Xenopus tropicalis: one gene and its partner. The protein of the gene in region 1 interacts with the protein of each later gene in a pairwise test. Links are inferred from orthologs where the notes say so. Each region holds a gene or a part of one and is shown on either strand. Other genes may lie near its edges.

Region 1 (5,569 bases):
TGTGCAATAATGCAACGTGGGCCATCGGAGAGATCTGCATGCAGATGGGTGAGTGATGCAGGGCGACATATTACCCCTAATGGAATCTGTGCCTGTATATTTCGGGTTCAGTATCAGAATAGTAGGAAAATAGAAGCTTAACCCTTTGGGACACACAATGCGGTTATAGGAGCTGATGCTGAGGGGCTTTCTCTCTATTTCTTTCTTACAGGAGCGGAGATGCAGCCATATGTCCCCATGGTCTTAAATAACCTTGTGGAAATCATTAACCGGCCAAATACTCCAAAGACCCTTCTGGAAAACACAGGTGCGTAATATCCTCATGTTAAGCTGAAGGACAATATCTAGGGGAAATTCCTTAATTCTAGAGGTCCAGCTTTCCTGTAAGCATCAATATTACCTTAGACAGACCTTCCCTGAGTGTGTGCAAGGCAGCGCTTGGCCACTAGAGGGAACTAGTAAATCACCACAGACATTACAATGAAAGCTGATTGGTTCTGTCCACATCTCTATAACAGCATAGTGGGATTGCAGGTCATTTTGCTTTTTATAAGGTGCCATCTTTTGTCTTTTTCCTGTACAGCCATAACCATTGGGCGCCTGGGCTGTGTGTGTCCCCAGGAAGTGGCTCCTATGCTGCAACAGTTTATCAGGCCTTGGTAAGTAATGTTTAAAGCTTTGGGAACCACAGGGGGGGTTAACTTTTCCTCCTGCTCAAAGGATTGTGGGTAGTCCTATCAGCCACTGACTTGACACCTTGGGGAAAAGGCACTAAATTGTTTGCCCATAGCAACCAATCAGCAGGTAGAATTTACTAGTCATCTGTTACTGCTACTGGGCAACCCCCCCCCCCCCTAACTTAAAGCACCAATAATGGAATCTTTTAACGCTATAAATACTGCCTTGATCATTTAATTGCTAGGTGCACATCACTTCGCAATATCCGTGACAATGAGGAGAAAGACTCCGCCTTCAGGGGGATCTGTATAATGATAGGTGTGAATCCTGGTGGAGTTGTACAGGTAAATATGCTTCACTCTATGGGGGGGGGGGTTTGGGGATAGGGGGGCAGCAGAGATGGGTGTGTTCCCTCCATACACTTGCCTTGCCCTTACTTACTTGTGTCCTCTCTTCCCTTGTCCCTCAGGATTTTATTTTCTTTTGTGATGCTGTGGCGTCATGGATGAGTCCGAAGGATGATCTGAGGGACATGTTCTATAAGGTAAGAATTCTATAACAAAGATAGGACTTTCTTGTTCTTCTAAAGAGCGCCATACAACACCGAAACCCCTAATATCCCTATCACTGTAATCTGTTCCTTCAAACAGTAGGAATAAATACCATTTATAGGCTGAAATCCAGCTGCAAAACAGTTCTTCTCTTTCTGCATCAATTGAAATCCTGGCAGGGGAGGAGGGACTAAAACACTGATACAAATTGCAACAACTTCTCCATAGCTTACAGACAGCATGCAGGAACTACATAACCCACAATGCATTGCACAGAGATGTTCCTTTCCTTACTGACATCAAGTGCAGGGGATTGGGAGAATGCAAGCTGAGGGCAGGCGACTACTGTTACATTTTATTTGAGTCTCAAAGTAGTCAGCCAGATCAGCAGAACAGGGGGCGGGGCTTAGGGAACTGTTCCAAACCCTATTTTTACATTACAAATCATGAAAAGGCTGCATATTTTGGAATGATATTGTATATTGCAAAGTTGCTTGAAATTATGTTTACTTACTTCATATATTATATATTATATATGTATATATAGCCCAGGCCTACCCTTTATACTGGACTGACTTTTGCTTCATTGGATCCTGTAGATTTTGCACGGTTTTAAAGAGCAGGTTGGGGAGGAGAATTGGAACCAGTTCTCTGAGCAGTTTCCCCCTCTGCTAAAGGAGCGTTTAGCCGCGTTCTACGGTGTGTAAAAGGGCTCGTTAGCAGATACACACCCAGCGTGGGAGGTAAGTGGCCTCTGGGGGTTATAGTAGGAGAAGATACCTAAGGCCTTTGGTTTAGTCCACCCGCTCATTTTGTCTCTTCTCTGTTTAGGTTCCTGTTTGGTCCATGTGGTCATCGGGGAGAAAGATGTCCTACGCCCCCTCATCCGGTCTTTAGAAGGGTTTTAGGGAACAGTGTCCAAGGCTAGAATTACACCCCCTCGTCGCCAACCCCCAGGAACATTATTGCAGGGAGAAGTGTGCTGCATAGTGCAAACTACACAGCTCAACACAACATTTCAACCCCCACCCTACCACCATCAGACATGGCGCAGATTTAGTCGTTAATTTTGTTTTCTATTGTGCATCCAAGGGGGTTGGGCTTAAAGATGAAACTCTATGGTTAATGGGAGGAGGTAGGGAATAAGAGAAGATGCCAGGCACACAGCGGGATGTGGGAAGGGGAAGAAGCGGGTGGGGGGAGGTAGCGCATAGAGGGAGGGAGGAGGAGGGAAGTAATTGGCTCCTGTGCTCCGTGTTAGAGCTGGCACAGGTTCAGACGACCGTATCTCTTACAGATAGGGTTTAAATTAAGGTAGGGCAGGGCTGTTCAGCGTATTTTAGGGCCCGTGGGCATACAGAGGGAGGAAGGAAACAGAGTATTGTTCAAACTGTGTTGTAATTGGGCATGTGTGGAACACCCAAGTCTTACATCATTGCTCCATCCCAATTTGAAGGGTGGCCGGCCCATCTCGTCGGAGTGGCCTTTAAACTGCCCACCATTTACCCAATCAATTTGGGGTCCCACCTTTCATACTGTTGGCAAAGGCAGCAAGCCCAGAGCGCCAGACCTACGGTCTTCCTGCGGAAACCCCCTACTTGCCACCTACCTCGTGGATGGCTCCAAGTCACTGGCATTTGAAGTACAGCAGGGACCCAGGTTGGCGTTCATCCATGTTTTATCCAAGAAACGTTGCATTTCAGCATCCCCAGCTTATCGGCCCTCTCCTCGTGCCCCAGGATCTCCGTGGCATAAGGGGGGCTGCTTAGTTTTTATCACAAAATCGATTTCGCAAAGGGTCTCCTTAACCCTTTGGCTGCTGACGTGGGATGGAAGAAAAGAGATTTGCTTTTCCCAGCAGACTCCTAGTAAATGTTATTGTTCCTAGTGAGCTGAGGCTTCCGGTGCTGGCATTTCAGGTTCCTGGCTCCGCAGCGTTGGCCGGCACTGACTCCAAGCAATGAACTTGGGAGACAAGCATTGACTGGGTCCAAAATGGCTGAGGCCTTGCCGCTAGAGATGAGCTGGCATTGCGCTGGCAGGGAAGTGGTGAACCCGAACAGATGAGGACAGGTATTGGGGGGTGGGTGACCTTTTAACAATACCTACTTTTAAAAGCAAGAAGCAAAGGGTGGGCTTCAAGATGTCACAGCCTGCCTGAGCCGGGGTGGGACGCAATGCCGCCCGTTCAGTAATATCACCCTTCCTCCCTCCCCTGTTTTCTAGGGCACACCACTAGGCTCCAGTTCAATTCTGGGTCTGTGTATTGGTATTTGTGATGTAATGTTTCCTATGGTAAAACTGCAGTGTATTTAGTGTAAAGCCATCTTGCTTGCACCTTTGCTCAGATGAGAATTATATTCTCATTTTATGTATATTTTTTTTTTTTTTGTTAACTAAAAATGCAGGTTTTTTTTTTTTTGTGACTCAAAAACAATGTTGTGTCTTATTGTACAATGCAATATGGAACATGGAACAACCCCCCAACCAAGGGAGATGTTTGTCTCTGTCGCGGGAAAAGTAAAAAAAAAAAAAAACAATATGGAGGATTTTACCACTTTAACTGTGAGCTGGAATAATTTCTTTGTCGGAGCAGGGTGGTATGGGTACAACGCGGAATGTGCTGGGGCTACTACTGATTGGCATAAAGGTATGGGGTGAGGTGGCCTTGGCAAATGTATAGGAACACTGACACAAATTGCAATTATTGGTTACGCCTACCTTCCTGCGGGGGGGATACTGGGGGTCACTTATCAACACTGGGCAAATTTGCCCTTGGGCAGCAACCCATGGTAACCAATCACATTATTGCATTCATTGTTCTACCTGCAGCTGGCTGAAAAAAAAAACAAAAAACCCACCAATCACTGATGGGTTACTGCCCATGGGCAAATTTTCCTAGCGTTTATAAAGGAAGCACTGCTGTTATTTTGGACCAGGGCCAATTCGGGTTGTATTCAAAACAGAATTATCTTCTATTTCCTTTATTTAGCTAATAATGACCATATATTAGTGCGCTCACAGGTACTACTCCAGAGGAGTGGTAGCCACCATATTTGCCCAGTATACGGGATATCCCTCTGTTTAGCCTGGTACTATGCAAGACTGCCCTGTGTATGGGGTCCTTAAGCAATGGCCTTGATCCATCCTCTATAAGGGCAGTAACAGACGGGGAGATCAGTTGCACTGCAATGCCATCCCACCGGCTAGAATGTAAATCGCCAGTGGGATGGCATACACGTCGCTACGATTTCCCGAAGTTTCCTCTCAAGGCAACTTCAGGCGACGTCCGGGAAATCGTAGCGACGCGTATGCCATCCCACTGGCGATTTACATTCTAGCCGGTGGGATGGCATTGCAGGGAGATTAGCCAACCGCACTAAAGATTTTTCGCGGGGCAACTAATCTCCCCGTCTGTCACTGCCCTAAGAGTGGGCTTCTTAGAGTTTTAGCCATCCCAGCAGCTATAAATGGCTACCAAATCTGAGCCTCATTGGTGGCAGTTGGAAAACTCAGATGTGACTTCCGGGGTACAGTTCTCCCTGGGTAGAAGAATGGACCCCCCCAACAAAGTACTGGAAGAGCAGCAGGAGACATTTTAATTAGGCCTTCATTACCCATATACCATAACATGGTATATTTATCAGGCAAGAGAACTTCTAGTAATTTTAGCACAAGATATTGGTGCCATTTTAAGCCATATGTTAAAAAGAGTTAGCGCCACCAACTGGCAGGATTTACCCAGAGTGCCCCACAGAGTCCACGTGTAGCCAAGCCACAGATAGGCTGATATACTGCAGTCCTTGATGTTATGGTTTCTCCAGGTTGCACAGATCCAGTGGGGCTGATGGTTCCATAAAAGTCCAAAGGGCTTGGGCAGAACTCTGGTCTTCAGTCTCCCTTCATTTGGGAAAGATATTTCCTCTGTTTTAAGGCGGTTCCATGGGCTTCATGACTGGCTTCTGCCAGTTGCTCCTTGTGTATGAGCCCCCCTGACAGCCCTACCATACTGGGATCTGGCTGGTTTGATATTCGGATCGGGGACAGCATTGGCTCGTTGATGCAGCCATCAGTCTAACGACCCAGATACCCACCGCCTTATTTTGATCCCTTGGCTCACTGACTTCGACAAACGAGCGTAAATGCCACCTTTAGACCCGTGTGTGTTTATTTAGTGCGCACCCAGGCTCCTTTGTACCACAGCCCCCACCAAAGGCACACAGGGTGACCCTTGAGCTTGGTACAGTATACAGCCTCCATTAACTGTTTGAAGGTAACAGACAGATAATCTTCTGAGGGGTGGCTCCCCTTTAAAGTGATACTGACTCTAAAAAAAACAA
Region 2 (6,011 bases), on another chromosome or scaffold:
AACATAATCTTCTCCTCTACTGCCAACATACCATTTGGTCATATGAAGATAATATGATAATTAGGGGTACATTGGTGTGGGGAGCATTGGTTGACTCTGCCCCATTGAAACCTACAGATCCTTTCTTTTTTTGTGATGTAAGATCTAGATATTTTGCTGGTTAGGCCTCTAACCAGCCCTCAGCCTAGCGGCAGCTACAAACTGTGGAAACCCTGCAAACTGAACTATTCATGCTCTCTACACTACCATTAGAGCTTTCTGCTAACAGTAAACAGTGGTTGTGATTCAGCTTCTGCTTCCACCAAAATATCCAATAAACATTCTTTGCAGAACACACTCACACATGTGTTTTAAATACACAAGTACAGTCTGTAGAAATGTTACACTACAAATGACAAGCAGGACTGCAGAACAGTCAGTGGTCTACCGAAAATAATGCTACAAAAAGGACCCAATGCTGTATTCTTTCTCCTCTCTCATCCTCTCTCTCTCTTTTGCCAAAGGTATATTGTAGATTGCTCTGCTTTAAAATCTTCCAGAATGTGTTCAGTCCATGTCAGTGGTTTCCTAGACTGTCAATAACCCCCTTTCCTAAACACCCACATAGTGATGCTCCTTTAATTCAGCTGCCATCTCCAGTACAATGTGCTCAATGCCAGTAAATAATGGGAGCTGTAGTCATCACATAGCTAAAAAATAAACACCAGGATCTATTACCATGGAGTCCTAGTTTTAAAAAGCAGCAGAAGGAAATAAACACAAGTTAGCATTAGGATGGAGAGTGGCAAAAACATTAGTGATTAGTGTTCCTGTAGGACCTTGACACCCTCAAACGAAAACCGAAATGGTCTTTCCTTCTCAACACTAGTAAATGCCTCTTGTAACTGGCTCTGGATGGAGGATTCCCATGAGCTCTTTGTCAAGAGTGGATATTTAAACGGAGTGTCATTATGTTTAGGGCAATACATATTATAGTGATAGATAAAAGAGTAAGGTCAAATTTGAGAAAATTCAAGTGGCCAGACACAGTGAAAGCATAAAAAGATGCAATTTAATCAGTTCTTAGGAGAGCAAGATGTTTCCACACTGACCTGAATTTCTGTAGTGTGAGTCACCAGCAATGATAGCTGGAAGAATTCCCTCATTTCCCCTGAGAAATATAAGGTATCCAGACTGTGTTTCCGAGCCACTGGTTGAAGCTCTGGCCAACTACATTTACACTGTATTGCCAGGCAATATTCACCCCCCAGCAGTGTATTAAGATTTTGCTTGCTATTTATAGCACTAGGCTATTTGTCCTTACAGCATTTCTCATTGCTGAACATTCCGTGCATGGCATCTATTTTTGTATAAACCCTCTGTTGTTATAGGGGATTTCCACCTCCCAAAAAAAATAAAAGAAAATATAATTTAAAGAGACTTGAAGCTATTATTTTAAAGGGACTGTTGAAAGCTGCATCTGTCTTGATTCCAAAAACAAAAATGCCAACCTTACCATATTTTTATATATCTTTCCTATTAATAACATTGGCCTCAGGCATATTTTTTTCCACCAAGGTCAATAAAATACTGAACAGGTAGCAACCCTAGTCTGGCTGCTTATATTCTCTGCACTTTTGGTTATGCTTACTGAAACAATGTAGCTAAAGCAAGATACTTTTAGGGTACTGGCACATAGGAAGATTTGGCAGCCGTGGTAAATATGCATTACTATGGTCAACAAGTGAAAATGCCTTCCCCTTGCCTAACATTTGAATCATTGCAAGTAAAAACATATTACTTGCACCAATCCGGCTTAATCGCGGGAAAATGTGAAAGAAGGCAATTTCCTGTGTTTAAGCTGGATTGCTGCAAATAATGTTTATTTTTTACTTGTGTCGATCCAAATGCACAGAATTAACGCTTATGACATATATCCATGTCTTCCAGGGCCCTGAGTCAGAATCAGAGAACAGAGGGATAAACACATTGTTTTACCATTATCTAGACAATTTTTGGATGGAGTGTACCTTTAAAGAATCTACAGGGTAGGGATTCCCTCAGCTGTAACCTCAATTGCTGCTCCTTGTAGCCCTTTACCATGACACAAGTTTTCATCCATGTGCTGTTCAAACTGCATACTTCCACTGGCAGTGCTGATAACAAAGTACACTTGATGGACTATTTCCTGGCACGAGCCTTTAGTGTAGATAGGCACAATCAAACATACTTGGGCACAGGCTGCGTCTATGCGTCACTTTTTCCCACATATACTATAAATAAATGAATTATGCAATTAACCGTTTCAACACCAGAGTCACAATACAGGGTGTTCAGCTGGGGCAGAGGAGAATCATGTTAACTGGCTAAGCTTGTGTAACTTTTGTTATGATTCTGACACAATTACTGAGCAAATGGTCTGCCATACAGATCATTAGAGGAAGATACAAATGAGACAAGGCGCATATATATTTTAGTGATGTATTTCTTCCAAACTCCCACAAGTTCACCTCTGGGCAAATGTTAAAAATAAAATGGGCATCTATAATGCTGTCCCTCCAGCCCTTCACAAGTGGGCAGTTACTACAACTGACCATTTCTACGCATAAACACAAATGATATATTTATTATATAATGTGTATATATACATCACATACATCCTATAATATTAAAGAGCTAATGTGTAAGCCAGGAATGCCCAACTAGCAGCCCTAAGGTGTTGACAAACTATAACTCCCATGACCCCAAGGCTGGAGGGCTACAGGTTAGGCGCTGCTGGGCCACAGACAATGAAGCCATATCTGTTCTTGCTACTTACTTTCCTAGCTCCTCGAAGAGCTGGTACTCATCCGTAAACCTGGTGCAAGTAGTTGAAGCCATAGCGCCTCCTCCCCCTGCTTTTTTCCGCTGGTGGTGCACGGTCGGGGTGCTAGGGGACGCGCAGCAGCGCAATGACAGGCAAGAGAAGCGGCAGCGGCGGGATCCCGAGGTGGCAGCAGTAGGGCGCAGAGTAGCTCCTAACCTGAGCCTGGGGAGGATGCTCGGCTTTCCCTCCTCCCTGTGCCCCTCTCCTCCTCCTCCTCCTCCTCCCCGCCTCTCTTCACGCAGCAGGGTCGGCTCACACGGTCACTGCTCTCTAGTGCTTAGTGCTTTGCCTTATTTGCAGCGTTTCCCCGTCTCCGCTTCACTTTCGCTTCCCTGTGGGGAGCGCAGCGTAAAACAAAAGAACGTAGTAGCGCAAAATGACAGTGTCACAAACAGCTGCTGGCTCCTTTTAGCTTGAATATCTCAAGACGCATTGGGGAAGGAAAGTGTCATATCGGGTGAAAGAGGAACCAAATACAGCGACAAAACTATAAAAACGCGAAGGCGTCCTGCAGGTCGGTCATGCCGCTAGGACCCTTCTCAGAAAGCGCAGGCTAATGTCTTACTGCTTCCGACCCGCTGCCTCTAATGGCAGCCCGAGAGGGAACAGCTCACGGTTATATTTTATGCGGGTTAGATGTGCTCTGTGTGCGAGTGAGTGGGTACGAGCTGCTCGCTCCCCCCCCTACCGTTCTATGGAACGCACCTCCCTCTAGCGACTCAACAACAGCAGACGAGTCCACAGAGATATCGGACGGGGTATCATAGCACCATCATGTCCTGCGTGTTTTACCGGGAAATCCCTCTGTTTGTTACGCTCTGGGGGTGGAAGTAAACATCGTTAGAGAAAACTAGGAACTTCCTCAGCTAATAGCAAAGCTATTTTTGATTTAAAAATGGTGTGGAAAGAAAAAACATTCAGTTCAAGCCATTAGTAAATTTCTTTTTTGTATTCATGATTTCTACCTTCTTACCGGGCGTTAGTTCCAGCCTACACAACGTATTTATCCTAGTATATTGTCAAAACTATTGATTTTATACAGGAACCATGTCACTAGTCATGGTAAAAGCAGCTATGCATTCAAAGTGTGCATATTAACTATATACTAAGCAGTCAAAGGGGGTGATGTAATAAAAGGCACAAAGTCTGTACAGGTGCCAGAGGAGAGCCAAGCCAGGGAGGCACCCTAGGCAACATGGCTGGCCACCTTCCCCCATCCCCTGCCCCTGAGTGATTGCTGGGGTTGCCTGTAATGTCAAGAGGTGGGGGGGGCTAGAGAGCGCAGACTAGGGGTAGGCAGAAGAAGTACCTGCCTGGTGCAATTTCAATTTCAATTTCAAATACATGCTGAAATGCTGATGGGCCTGCTAGGGTTCATTTATGAAAGCAAGCAGAAGTGCTAAAATGGATGCAAAACTATGCATGCATTGATTGATTCAGAAAGGCTTTTAGATCCATACAGGCGCCTTTGCAACTTGCTGCAAGCCTAATGAGTTATGCACAAGTGATATCATTGACACACGAGAACCCAGGAATTACCTTCACCATGGATCTGACCATAATTCCCTTAGTGCATTGTGTCTATATTCACAGGTGACTTGTGGCAAGTGAATGTGATACTAATGGTGTTATTGATTCCACACTGAGGAACTGACAGCAGTCAACTACTAATGTAGTGGAAAAGTAGAGCAATGGAGTTGGTGCGCACCATGTCTGGACTTGTAGTCAGTAGTGTGGCTAAAAAGGTAACCTCTGTGTAGCAAAACATACCAGCCAGCAAGACCTCAGCGCTATCTTCAGTGCCGGATTTCTGTCTATGGGGCCCATAAGCTGCCCCCATTTTCCCCCCCCAGCAGGATCGCACGCATGCGTGTCCTTTTAGCTTACATACAGAGCACTTGGGACAGGATGCACTAAGGTTTTCTTTACGAGCGGCTGGGTGGTATGCCGCACCTAAATTTATGCTTCCCTAAGCCCAGGCCTTTGTGGTTTGGGAATCTGATCAGCTATTATCCTGATCAGCTATTATCCCGGCTTCAGCTTTAAACCCAGTGGGAGATCTGTAGCCTATAGGATAAACCCATGTAAATGGGATTTTTTTAAGAGTTTTGGAATTCATTCCCAGAATTCTTTTGTTTGCTTTGGTCTGTATAAGGCAGTCTCCTCAACCTTATTTATTTGGTTTTGCCACAAATCCAGGTCTGCCTATCTTGTTTAACACCCAGTACAGAGAAGGGGTGGCCACTGGGGGATTGATTTGTACAGTTGGGGAGTGGGAAATGGACTGTCTTTAGGGAAAGGGGGAAAACAGTATTTTTTAATGCCTTGTCCTTGATACACATAGCTGTGGGGGCAAAACTCTTATGCTCACGGCTCTTTCTGCAATTATCCTGTCTGATCCATTTGCTCCGGGGCACTGGGGGGGTGGGGGTGGGTTGCAGGACTGTGAAGCTGTGAGCTGCTTGCTCCTGGGGTTTTGCATTTATTGGTGGTGTTCACTTCGGCCCGAACTGGCAATCTGTGGATTGTGGCAAATACCATAGTTGCTGCTGTAAGATTCCATAGACAGTCACTACATATTGGGGGACTGTTTGAGCCTCCATGTATTAAAAATGCCAGGGCCTTTTGAATCCCAATCTCTCTGTTCCCTCTTTTCCACAGCAGGTCAAATGTATCAGCCCCTATGTATCAGCATCACTTTATAGCCTCCAGCTTGTTGTGCTGAGAAATGAAGTGCAGTAACAACTGGGGTACAGTAGGCTGGTAGACAGCAGTGCACAGACCATTGTCAGACTTTGCCTATTGGCCCTTGTAGGCGCTTTAGAACCAGCTGCATTGCCGCACTTCACTGATTACAGGAAGAACTACACACTGTGAATTGTGGTTTTCATAACATTCAGTACTGAACTGAGTGTATAATCTATATGCAGCGATAAGGCTGCACAATGTGCTGGTAATTTGCTTCCAATTTTAGTCACATGCTTTCTAAATCTGTTGGTATATTTTCTAAAGGAAGATAGCTGCAAAGAATATGCCATTCCTTTTATTAGCATGCAGCATAAATATCACCACTTCCCAGTTGTATTTCATATCAATGCTTTCCGTCTGCGTTTGTATTGACTGCAGCAAAAACCCTTTTGGCCTGTTAGCATCAGGAATCCAGATA

The links. The genes of interacting proteins can lie anywhere in the genome.
Region 2: the proteins of tnpo2 (region 1) and camk2d interact in binary tests that used the Homo sapiens proteins (3 or more experiments, as listed by UniProt). The two-hybrid records come from large-scale screens. The link is inferred for Xenopus tropicalis from reciprocal best matches to the Homo sapiens genes TNPO2 and CAMK2D.

What each region holds. Positions count from the first base shown.
Region 1 is NC_030679.2:140,481,499-140,487,067, forward strand, and holds the end of tnpo2 (transportin-2), read left to right. Parts: coding exon 1-48; intron 49-211; coding exon 212-307; intron 308-583; coding exon 584-659; intron 660-922; coding exon 923-1,022; intron 1,023-1,147; coding exon 1,148-1,222; intron 1,223-1,828; coding exon 1,829-1,936; 3' UTR 1,937-1,972; intron 1,973-2,060; 3' UTR 2,061-3,792; downstream 3,793-5,569. UniProt on the Homo sapiens protein: Probably functions in nuclear protein import as nuclear transport receptor. Serves as receptor for nuclear localization signals (NLS) in cargo substrates.
Region 2 is NC_030677.2:69,462,281-69,468,291, forward strand, and holds the start of camk2d (calcium/calmodulin-dependent protein kinase type II subunit delta), read right to left. Parts: upstream 3,633-6,011; 5' UTR 2,860-3,632; coding exon 2,798-2,859; intron 1-2,797. UniProt on the Homo sapiens protein: Calcium/calmodulin-dependent protein kinase involved in the regulation of Ca(2+) homeostatis and excitation-contraction coupling (ECC) in heart by targeting ion channels, transporters and accessory proteins involved in Ca(2+) influx into the myocyte, Ca(2+) release from the sarcoplasmic reticulum (SR), SR Ca(2+) uptake and Na(+) and K(+) channel transport.